Nothobranchius furzeri: one gene and its partner. Each later gene encodes a partner of the first gene's protein in a complex. Links are inferred from orthologs where the notes say so. Each region holds a gene or a part of one and is shown in the gene's direction. Other genes may lie near its edges.

Evidence for each region.
Region 2: kat14 (region 1) and mbip share a complex: the UniProt entries of both Homo sapiens proteins name them as parts of the ADA2A-containing complex. The link is inferred for Nothobranchius furzeri from reciprocal best matches to the Homo sapiens genes KAT14 and MBIP.

What each region holds. Positions count from the first base shown.
Region 1 is NC_091746.1:29,631,862-29,637,860, forward strand, and holds the start of kat14 (cysteine-rich protein 2-binding protein), read left to right. Parts: upstream 1-2,691; coding exon 2,692-2,950; intron 2,951-3,052; coding exon 3,053-3,174; intron 3,175-3,269; coding exon 3,270-3,391; intron 3,392-3,622; coding exon 3,623-3,795; intron 3,796-3,869; coding exon 3,870-4,304; intron 4,305-4,378; coding exon 4,379-4,959; intron 4,960-5,136; coding exon 5,137-5,270; intron 5,271-5,380; coding exon 5,381-5,556; intron 5,557-5,630; coding exon 5,631-5,821; intron 5,822-5,892; coding exon 5,893-5,999. Other genes in the region: protein PET117 homolog, mitochondrial, read left to right, coding at 1,574-1,813, 2,347-2,496. UniProt on the Homo sapiens protein: Component of the ATAC complex, a complex with histone acetyltransferase activity on histones H3 and H4. May function as a scaffold for the ATAC complex to promote ATAC complex stability. Has also weak histone acetyltransferase activity toward histone H4.
Region 2 is NC_091758.1:21,135,446-21,141,427, reverse strand, and holds the start of mbip (MAP3K12-binding inhibitory protein 1), read left to right. Parts: upstream 1-1,951; 5' UTR 1,952-1,990; coding exon 1,991-2,110; intron 2,111-2,897; coding exon 2,898-3,014; intron 3,015-3,180; coding exon 3,181-3,360; intron 3,361-3,922; coding exon 3,923-4,019; intron 4,020-4,375; coding exon 4,376-4,441; intron 4,442-4,621; coding exon 4,622-4,780; intron 4,781-5,306; coding exon 5,307-5,404; intron 5,405-5,982. UniProt on the Homo sapiens protein: Inhibits the MAP3K12 activity to induce the activation of the JNK/SAPK pathway. Component of the ATAC complex, a complex with histone acetyltransferase activity on histones H3 and H4.

The sequences.
Region 1 (5,999 bases):
ATACCGAACACGTGTTAAAGACTAAGCTGTGACGACGCTGTTGAAGGTGTTTAAAAATCAGCCACTTTTTGCTTTTTTAGTTTTTTAACTTGTTGAACTTTCTGAAATGCGAAACCAAGAATGTGACGATAATGTGAGCTGAAAGCTGCACAAAGTTAAAATGTGGAACGATGAAATGCGTGTAAATAGCCATCCAACCGCAGCGTCTCCTCGGCAACCCTCAGCTTCATTTCATGATTTAATTTATTGCTACGACACTATTTATTTCTACTCTGTATGTTCAGTGAAACATTTGTCCTATTTATGTTCCATGATCAATAAAACTGGCTCCCATCTGCAGAGACGCCCTGTGTGGTTACGGGTGACCAGGTCGTGCGTCAGACCTGCAGGAACGTCCCAGGGACCGCTTCTATGTTATCCTGCTGCTGCAGCATTGTTGCATGACTTCTAGTTCTGCAGGTTTTCTAAGTCTAATTTTAAATCAAAACGTTAAAGAGCAAGTCACCCCCTACCAGAGTCTTACTCCACTCCCACTTCATGTTTGAAAAATGCAACAAATGCTGTTGCCTGGCAGACCGAGAGGGCGGAGCTGCTAACAAATACACACACACACACAGGCTCAGGACAGCATTGTGACATCATAATGTACCAGATGACATCATAGCATACCTCTTAGCCAATAGTGGTGGCAGATTTAAATTCAAATACAGTGCAGAGTTTTTACCTGACAACGGCACAACACTGACAGTTTTAGGCAGAATATTTAAATTTTAACTAAGATGCACTGAAGTGCCAAATTATTGACGACACGTGTCTGTAGCACGATTAGACACTCGTTTATTTAGTTTATCAGCAAAAAAAGTTTATTTGGGGGAGACTTGCTCTTTAAGCTCAGCTCTTTGTGTTTTTTTTTATAATTCTTTCTGCAAAATTCAAATACACTGAAAAACCTTTTAATTCTTTTAGATTTAAAACCAACGTTTCTGCTCCTCAAACTTTGACCATTTCTGCTCATTTCAATCTTGATTCAAGACTTTAAGCTGCATGATTCCGGTTTTTTCTTCGTGTTTTACATTTCTCCTCACTGCTAAGATCATCGCTCCTCTCCAACTTTCCGGTCAGGGTGATTTTCCAAAACTTTAGTTAACAAACTAGCTACTTCTGAACCATTTACACTAATGAAATAAATGATAAGAGATTTACACACATGAACACTGAAATTTCCTTTTCCTCATTGAGAGAGAAACAGGTCCTATCTTGGAATAGAATGGAATAGACTTTAATAATCCCACAGAGGGGAAATTCACTTGCTCCACTTAAAGAAAATAAAGAAGGAAATGATCAGATTACAGGTAAACACACCTTGGCCATACGTTATTATTGTAAACTCCAACCACTAAAAACAACGAATAAAAAGAAAACGTTGGTTTCCAAAACTATGTGCACATACTAATGTACATTCTCAGCCTGCGTCGCATAAATGTTTAGCCGAAAAAAGGTAAAACGTCATAAAAAATGCTGAAAAAGCACCACAACCATCTTTTTTTGTTCTGTTACCAAGAAACCTTCAACGATGGCTGCCTGCAGCTCATTTCCCCACCAGCAGGGGCCGCTGTGGCTCATGGGAGTGAAAATAAACAGAAGAAGAAGAATAACTTCCGGTAGTGCAGACGAGGAGCCTGTTAGCATCTGGCTAACTGAAGTCAGACCCAACGTGATGTCGGCAGCCTCCAAAGTGGTTCTGGGTGTTTCTGTGCTTCTGACGCTGGGTACCGTGGCAGCGGTCCATTTAAACCAGGCCTGGGATCGAGAGGTAAGTGTGCGAATCGAGCCGGTCCAGCAGCAACCGAACTACAGGACATTTAACCTGACCTCTGACCCAAAACCAGCGTAAATAATTTTCCTGTAAGGAAGTGATAGAAATAAACTGGCTGGCAGCTCACAATGTCCCGGATGTGAGATGATTACCCATAATTCACTGTTGCACAAACAGCTCATACCCCAGCTGTCAACATGGTGGTGGAGGGCTAATGGCCTGGGCCGGTTCCACAGGAGTCCAGCATCCTGATATCTAACACACACACACACACACACACGAGTCTGTGACAACACAGCAGCAGATCAACAACAGAACCAAGGTGCAGCGGTCCAGCCAGAATCTAGACCCGAACTATGTGAGAAACGGACCCATATTTGTGTTACTTCTGCTCTGCAGGAGGAGCCTCTTTGTGCTTATGGTTCTGAGTCTCTTGTAGGCCCTTTTATCTTGCACTTGGGTTCAGATTAAAGCCGACGTGACTCCGCAGCAGGGCCTGTTGTCACGTGTTGTTTTTAATGACCCTGCAGAGGCTGCGTGAGGGTGTGGTTCAGGATCTGGAGCGGGTGGAGAGGAAGAAAGAGAACCTGAGGCTACTGGAAGAGCAGAGGATTCTGACCAGACACCTGGAGGAGGAGCGGAGGAGAGGAGAGGAGAGGCTTCAGTCACAGGACACCTGAGGCAGGTCAGGAAACATGGTCATTCAGCTGTGTTTGCTTGTATAGAACAAAGATGACATGAAGGACCAGAACTTCTCTGTCTGGTTTGATCCAGTTTGAACCTATTGTTGTATCTGAAATGTCCACATGGGTCTTCTGGATGGACAAATAAGAGAGTGCCTCTCTGACCCATGTAACCTCCACAGGTGCCCAGAGATGGACAGCAGCAGTGAGCAGCTGGCAGCGGCAGAGGACGAGGCGGCTGGAACATCCGCCTCTGAGGGTCTGGAGGAGGGCGAGGTAGAGGGGGAGACTCTGCTGATCGTAGAGTCTGAGGACCAGGGCTCCGTAGACCTGTCCCACGACCAGAGCGGGGACTCTCTGACCAGCGACGTGGGCGAGGAGACGGATGGAGGCTGGGCCTGTGAGGACATGTCCTTCTACTGCGAACGTTGCCACAAGTGGATCCCTGCAGGTCAGCCAGTCACAGCACAGCATGGAGGACCGTGTGTGTGTGTGTGTGTGTGGTTGCTGCGATCCTAAAGGGTTTTGTCTTTCTGACCCGGTTCTGGTCCAGCTGAGCTCCACGGTGACCAGCCCAGTTACCTGAAAGGAGACAACTTCTTTAAGTTCTTCTGCTCCGAGTGCTCTGAGGACAGGAAGGAGAGCTTTGAGAGGATGAGGCTCACCTGGCAGCAGGTATGACCCAGACTCAGCAGGGCAGGTACCACACACACACACACACACACACACACACACTTCCTGCTTGTTAAACAGGAACATCCTGTGTTCAGGTGGTGATGCTGGCCATGTACAACCTGTCTCTGGAGGGGACAGGCCGGCAGGGTTACTTCAGGTGGAAGGAGGACATCTGCGCTTTCATTGGCCGCCACTGGAACTTCCTGCTGGGGAACAGGTGAGTTAGAAGTCATGCCGGAGACCCTGGCCAATCAGAGTTTAAGGCTTCCCTTTCAAACCTGAGCTGTTTGACCCACTTTAAACATCCACAGTTGCACAGATGATGGAGGGAAGATGGGTTTCCAGGGCCAGGAAACATCCCAGCCCCGATCGATCCCGTTGAAAGAATCATCACAAGTTCTGCTGAATCTTTAACTCGGATCAGTGAAGATGCTAATGATGTTTGCAGGAAGAAGACGTCAACGTGGTGGAGCACAGTCGCTGGCTGCCTTTCTGTCGGAAGTCCCACCTTCTTCCGCTCTGGTGCGCAGGAGTTTGGAGAACCAGGCTGGTGGAAGCTGGTCCAGAACAGACCTCCCACCTTGAGACCGGATGGGGACAAATCCATCGCTAAGGTCAAAGGTGAGATGCATTGTCACAGTTATGTTCAGGTGAGAAAGCTCCGCCCACTGATCCATTGTGTCGTTCACTCACAGTCTCTAAACCGGTGATGGACCCGATTATTACGGTGGAAGGTCTGAGGAAACGTGGAGCCAGGAACCCGGTGGAGAACGCCATGCAGCTGAAGGAGAAGCGTTGCCGCACACAAGAGGCCAAAGACATCCGCCGAGCCCAGAAGGAGGCAGTGGGAGGCTACGTTGACCGCAGCTCCTCCTCCACTCCCGTTAAGCTAAGCGGAGGCCGCGGTGGGGGTGCCAGTCGCCGGTCTGAGGTGGTCCTGGAAAAAGGCGAGGTCATCGAGTTCTCATCCCTCAGCTCCTCGGACCGAACACCGCTCACCAGCCCATCTCTGTCTCCATCGCCCGACTTCTCCGCTCCGGGAACGCCTGCCTCTCATTCAGCCACACCCAGCCTTCTTTCGGAGGCGGACCTAATTCCGGACGCCATGCCGCCACAGGCATTATTCCACGGTGAGTCATTTCATCCTCGTGCTGGGCTGTGGTGTCAGCTGTGATGTCATCTCCTGTCTGCCTCCCTCTTTCAGATGACGATGAGATTGAAGGGATGATTGACCCAGGGGTGGAGTACATCCCTCCTGCTAGCACCAGCCATGTTGGCCGTAAGAAGCTCCGCCCAGCGGCGCCATCCCACATCAAACGGGAAGCTGAGAGTGAAGACGATGATGGCCACCAGAACGAGGACTCCCTGGAAGAGCCGGCAGAGGCCCCGACTCTTTCCTGCCGGGGTCCGGTTGGCGTCAGAGCAGCCGAGCGGCGGAGGGCGACTCATCCTGAGAAATCTAACGAAGTGGCTGTCCTTCGGGATCCGGGCCTGGTCCCGCTCAGCCTGTACGAGGAGCGGCTGCTGCTGCTGCGGCTGGACGCCTGCCCGCTGGCGCTGGCCGTCACTCCACATGCCAAACGCCTCCACAGGAAGCTGCTGGTCCGCCAGACCAAACGCCAGAGAGGGCTCCCCCTGCTAGACGTTGACCGAGCAATCAGCGCCACCCTCAGCCTGGTGGGAGGCATCTATGATGCGCAGGAGGCGGGGGCACATGTGGAAGGCGGGGCTAAGAAGAAATACTGCAGCAGCCGCCAGGAGCAGCGGATTCTGGATCGTTTTCAGGTCTCTGCTTGTCTCCTCAACTCCAAACCTTTAGAAGACATCCATATTTCACATCAGCAGCACGTTCCAGCTGTTTCTCACTCGACCTTTGACCTTTTTGTGCCGTTTCTCCCTTGAAAGCTAACACCATCGGCTCAGATTCAGCTTTGGTCTCTGAACCCATCTGTGTGTTTACAGACCAGCGTCTCCAGCCGAAGGCGTGTCCAGCACAGCTCCGTGTCCTTTTGGCACCGTCTGATGGGAGCTGAAGGCAGTTTGGACAAAAGCATCAAGAGTCCGTACACGTCCCGCCTCCTGAAACCGTTCATCAGGTAGGCCAGTCTGAAAACTTTGTCTTACCTGCTGGAGTACGAAAGCCTTACAGGTGGCGCTCCAGAGGTGCCCAGGCCCAGGTATCACGTAGAAGCTGTGTGCTCCACAGGAGGGATTACGAGAGTCGCCCGGTGAAGCTCAGGTTGCTGGAGGAGATCAGAGCATACCCCCACAGGAAGGATCCAGACTGGGTCGCTGAACCGGACGCCCCCATTGACTACTGCTACGTCAGTCCCTACCACATCCCCTCCGTCAACGCCATGTGCCAAGACACTTTCTGGCCAGGTAACATGGCTCCGCCTCCCTCCTTTGCTTGCGCCTGTCAACCACGAGTCAAACCTCCAGGTGTGTTCCTGCAGGTGTGGACCTGTCTGAATGCCTGCAGTACCCAGACTTTAGCGTGGTGGTTCTCTATAAGAAGGTGGTGGTTGGCTTTGGTTTCATGGTGCCAGACGTCAAGTACAACGAAGCCTACATCTCCTTCCTGCTGGTCCATCCGGAGTGGAGGCGGGCCGGCATCGGGACTTTCATGATCTACCATCTCATCCAGGTGAGTCCTGTTGGGGCGGGCAGGTAGTTTACACGAGAAAGCCTGGACCCTAACAGCTGTTGTGCCTTCAGACGTGCATGGGGAAGGACGTGACGTTGCACGTGTCGGCCAGGAATCCGGCCATGCTACTCTACCAGAAGTTTGGCTTCAAGGCCGAGGAGTACATCTTGGACTTCTA
Region 2 (5,982 bases), on another chromosome or scaffold:
TTCTGCTGTGTTTGGTGTAATTCATTTATTTTCCTGTATTTATTTATCCTTTACACTAAAGTGGGCCAAACCATTTTGTCACCACATTTGCATTTTCACTGTTGCATCTATTAATCACTGAAAAATCTCACCTATTGAAGCTATTTTCACTTTTATTCAAACGTACAAGGATTGTGGAAAAACCCTCGGCTCTGCACTGATTAACATATTGTTCCTATGTTTTGTTATGCTTGACATGCACGTTCCTGGGCTATCATAATAATGTCTGTTCTATGTTTCATTTTGTTTTTATTGCTGAAAATTGGGTCTTATGTGTGTGTTTGAATTGCTGAAGGAAATAAAGATGTAGACTGAAGCTGCATTCTTTGACTGCTGCTGACCGAGTCATATGTAAAAGTATTCGCATATAAAAAAAAGGCTGTTTTCAAATAAATACATCACCAAATTTGGACTGTCTGGTATTTATTTGCACATATGCAAATGAAAAATACATTTAGCTAAATGGTTGTTTATGTTCAATTGATGGCACGACCTGGAAATTCCCGATTAAAACATGCAATTACAAAGTATTGGTATTTAATTTAATATATGATGATGTAAGTATTACCTCTTCTGTTCTTTATGATTTTTCAACTAACAAGATAGTGAAAGATCAAGTCAGACCCTTAGCTAATGAGCATCTGCAATTTGGCTTCAAAAGTTAAATTCAACCAAAATGCTCTAAGTATTTTCCAAGAAGTACCTTAAATCACATATACAGCTCATTAAAAGGGTAAAAAAAATTACAGCTCTTGGGTCTGCAGCCAGGCAAATTAAATGAGCAGTGTATTTAATTTCAGAGCTCCTCGCTGTGTGGGAACATTTAGCAACTGCTCAGCATGTCAAACCATGTCAAGTGTTACAGTTCTCTTCCTGTTTCACGGGAAAAAATATCACCCTACAAATGAATTAAGCTAAAAAGGCTTATCTTCAGAGCCCTTCCTAAAATGATTAACCTTTCTAAAGAGCATTATTGAGTTCTGAGTGCATGGTTGTGCCGTCTCTTTGCCTGTAATTGTTCTTTTTCTGTTGTTTCCTTCATCAGTCTCTCTCTTCATTATATGAAAAGAAGTGAAAAATGTCTGAATAGAGAAGGGAGATTTTCCCACAGTCACTCAACTCAGAGAAATACACCATTGTGGGCAGGTTCCCATCCCAATGCCCTGCTGCTTGGTCCTCTGCAGTAAGAAGCACAGTGTGCTTATAATAAGGAGCCATTCTTTGTGCTGTTTGAGAAGCAGGTGAATGAAAACGTAGGCAAATGTGGCTTGGACATGTCAGTCAGTATTGTAAAAATGTAGACAAGTCCATTTAAACCAAGATTTAAAAAAGAGTTTAAGTCATAAAGCACCTCAAAAATCAGCACAATAAAAACATTAGTAGTTTTTTAAGAATAAAACTTATTTTATATGCTTTATACAAATAAGACATGACCTTATGAGCATCCTCTGAGAAAAGGCAAACAAATATACTGAACCTAAATAATATGTCCATTTCAAAAGTTAAAACATTTTCTGTTTATTTTTCTCTGCTGTTTTTTAAACTATTGTTTACTTTTTTGTTATACTGAAACATATTTCACAATTTTAAGCATCTGTACTAGTTTATTAAATAGTTTAAATTAGTAAAAGTTGACTTTTGCTTTCTGAATGAGCCTTCTAGAAATTAAATCTCCACAAACAAAAACAAAAGCATCTTTCTACCTATGATGAGCCCTCTTTAGGATCAAACAAAAAAAACTATACAGGTTTTTTAATGTTTCAGAATCTATTTAAAGATCAAAATTCTGAGCAAAACACAGTAAATCATTTATTTTTGTGCTTTGAATTTACTTTCATGCGCTACTGTTAATGCGCATGCGTCATTTTAGCCTGCAGTTCCACCAACCACGTGATTAAAATCACCGTCTCGCAACCAATGAGCACGCAGTATTCCATGAGTTTGAGTAGCAATGGCGGAGACAACGAAGCTAAGTGAGAGCAAAGCTCCTCCCAGCGAACCAGCTAAAATGTCCAGTTACAAACACTGCATGGACGCAATACTGGGGCTGCTTTCAGACTTTGGGAAAGAGGTTGGTGTGAAATGATTCAGCTGCTTCGCTCCGAATAGTCATTCCAGTCTGAGTAGTTTCCTAGCGGTGTGCTAATGTTTTTAGCAACTAGCCTCGTCGGTTCATGTTCATTCACTGTCCGTTAATCAAGTTTTTGCCGTAGGAAAGCGTCAGCTCGATGGTTTATATCTAAATTAACAGATTCAGTTTTAATATTTGTATTTCTGTGCAATAAAAACATGTCCAGACTTTTGTGTCACACGTCAGTTTAGGTTCAAATCACGCTTATTTTCATTTACCCTCTTTTTCCATATAGTAAACGTTCACGGTTTTTGGCATTTTTACGCAGTATTATGTAATTTTTGGTCCTGCAGGTAAACGTTTATTGATGCCACTGTCCACAACGCATTTCTACCTTAGAAAATATATTTAACCTTGCTCTATTTCCCCCCGTGTTTACGTCTAAATTATTAAAATTGCTGGATGCTTTAGCTCTTTTCATACCCAGGGCTTCTAAAGGGACATTAAATATATGTATTCAGTCTTATATACACTGTTTTTTTTTGCTAAATAATGGTTTAGTTTTTCTAGCACAGCAGAAAGGTTCAGTGTAAAACAATAAGATTATTTAATTTGACCGTTTATAGAAGCAAATTATGAAAAATTGCTTCTTTTTTAATTACCAAATTGTTGGTTAAATTACTTAAATTATTTAGCATTTTCTGCCTCTACTATTTTGAACTATATATTTTTTATTTAGCTGTGGTGATGTGTACTTGATGAAACTCTTGTTTATTTTCTCTCAAAGCTGAAATTAGGGGATGCTGCTTTGAGAATAGAGGTCAACCCTGGAGCTGTAGTACTTTCGTCATCTTCAGAAGCAGGTGTTTATGGCTGTGTACAGCAGCACATTGCTAAGTTGCAGGTAAGACATTCACCCGTTGGTTAATTTATGTTACATATGACTGCAATATCTAATAAGTGCCACATTTACAGTATAATTGATGGTCACTAGTGTTGTAATTAAAGAAATAATAACACTAATTTATAATGTGTTTGTAGCAGTCAGTGTTCTTTCTGTTTGGCTGTAGGCTGTTTCAGAAAGCCTGAGGTCACTGGTGGAAGCTGATGTTACATCTGTGAAGGAAGACACGGCGGATAACATTGTCACGTCACTATCATCCGAGCACCGGCGTCACAGCTCAGAGGCTGCAGACTGCGGGTCTTCGGGCGATGACGTCATGGTTCAGATCCGAGCCGGGAAGTCAGAGGTTGGTCATTGTCAACAGATCTGTCAGCTGTTCTGGCACTGATATTTTAGAGCCCTTCACACTCTGTCAAGCAAATGAATAATCATAAGTAATTGGTTCCAAGGATGTGCACATGATGTGCAGCAAATGCTTGATGGAGTTCTGATACTGGGTTTGACAGAGAATAAAGGGTTCTGTAGTGCTGTGGTGGGGTAGAATGGACCACATTGCTGGAGGGGTTTGAGAGAGGGCCAGGTCCTTGATGGATTATGAAGTGGATGCTCATTACTCTGAGATTGCATGTGGATGAAGGACAAGAGGCCCCATTCTGTTGTGCATTTATTTTGGTAGCCAGGCAAACCGTATTCTTATTCCATCACATGATGACGATAATCTATTCAACTGTTTGGGCTATCTGGAATAATTTCTCTCACTGTGTTTGATATTTTTTGAAACCATAAATCGCTGAACTTTGTTTACTCTAAATCAGTAAAAATAAGTCGACAAAACATTGAATTCTTCACAGCTATCAGTGGCTCATCAACCCGTTGTGTCTTATTATCTGTCTTCTCTGTAACTCCAGATCGAGCGAAGAATATCTGCATTTATGGAATGCAAGCAGATGGAGATCAATGAAAACAATGTGCGCGAGTTTTGCAACGTGATCGACTGCAATCAGGGTGAGAACGGAGGAGAGATTGGGGGGCAGGGTGGAGAGGGAGGCTGCACACAGATTGCCAATGTTTGGGAGAGAGCTGATTTCCACAGGCGAGAGGTCAGGCTGAACTGCTCCAAGAGTGGGCCTGAAGTAGCTAACACACTCGGCCTTGAAACGCAACCTGCTCTGGCCAGAAAAACACCAGACACACAGGCTGTTTGAAATTCAAAGCTTGTGTGTGACGCCAGTAATGGAAATCAGACGAAGTTGCAGTTCAAGTGTGGTGTATTCATTTCTAATGTTTTTTTTTATGACTATTTTCTTCTTACATTTAGAAAGTCTAATTACACTTTTGTTTTGGATTTGATTCCTTTGTAGAAAACAGCTGTGCCAGGACGGACGCCGTGTTCACTCCTTACCCAGGCTTTAAAAGCCACATTAAAGGTAAGAAAAGGGGACTCTTTGTTGCTCTTACGTTCAAAAATACACTCATCATCACTAGCTAAATTATTTTTGTTAACAATTTGGTAACAAGCATCATGGATGCTGTGTGATTTCTGTAATGTGCATCATTTAAAATTTGGTTGGTTCATCCGAGTCTGTGATTATTCTTTGGTTGATCAGTTTCACGAGTGGTAAACACTTACGGGCCCCAGACTCGTGGCGGGGGGCGCCAGGGAGAGGCTGCAGAGCATCATAGGGGGGCAGCTGCAAGAGACTGTGGAAATGCAGCCATAGAGGAGCGACTTCAGAACATGGAGACTCACCTGAAACTGCCGTCAGGTGAGAGAAGAGAGACAAGTGATGCGTCACACATCCTGAATAAAACTGTACAATACAAATAATATAGATATTGTGACATGATGAGCACCTTTTTTTATAAAATATCAACAAGAACATAAATTCTTGATGTTTTTCTTAAGTCACACAAAAAAGAGTTAATCACACTCAAAGATGCACGGATTCTAATTTTTATGGCCGATACTGATTTCTGAGTTTTCACTACTCTAACCAACCAATGATAGTGATGGTGTGTTCATGGACTAGGAAAAAAAAAACAGATTTTATTTTTTTTGTCTTTAACTTGAACAAACTGGGGGAAAATCTGATTCTCAGGTGCTGGGTTGACTGATCACCTTGTCATGTTGAATATTGGCTGATTTAAAACACCAGATGATAACTACGTACATATTTTTGGGGAGAATCTTGTCACACGATGATTTCTCTCCCTATTTTCTGGGTTTTGTTTTAGTCCTTTTTTTCCCAGTCTGGTGTATGGAACATATTATATTTATGTTTTATTCCTCAGTGGGTCCGGTTCCTCTGACCGTCTACCAGCGACTGAAGACGTTGGAGGATCGAATCCTGGAGCTGGAGGGACTCTCTCCTGAGTACTTTCAGTCCACGGTGAGTCTTCTGGATTAAACACACAAAGCTTTTTCAGATAACATTACAGCACAGAGATCTGCATTAGAAACTAAACTTAAATGATGACAGTTCACATAATGTAGTTCAATGCAAATTCAACCAGTGCTCTCTTAGATTTTTATTCTGTGCAAATCTTCATCTTGGAGCACTTTTAGCCTCCCCTGACGTTCACAGATATTACCTCTAAAGCAGTTTGCTTCCATTTCTCCGTAACTTTTACTTCATTGGTCATTTTTTGTAAAAGACGATGTCTGGACCGCCCTTTAGGTGGTTTAACTTATGTGAGTTATTTGTTTTTGAATGTGATAATGTGGGAATGAGGGAGATATATAGTACATTGATGCAACATTCCTGAAGCAAATTTTAAGTCTGAACAGGTTTTAGGTTTAGAGACAACAACAGGTGATCTTGAGCTTCTATGGTAATAAGTAGTTAGAATATCTGCTGTTTTAGGTAGAGTCCACTGAACTGCTACACTTATGTGAGAAGTTTTAGTTATATTTGAGTCACACGAGGTATTTGATGTAACTACAAAAAAGTTTAAACTATTGCAAAGT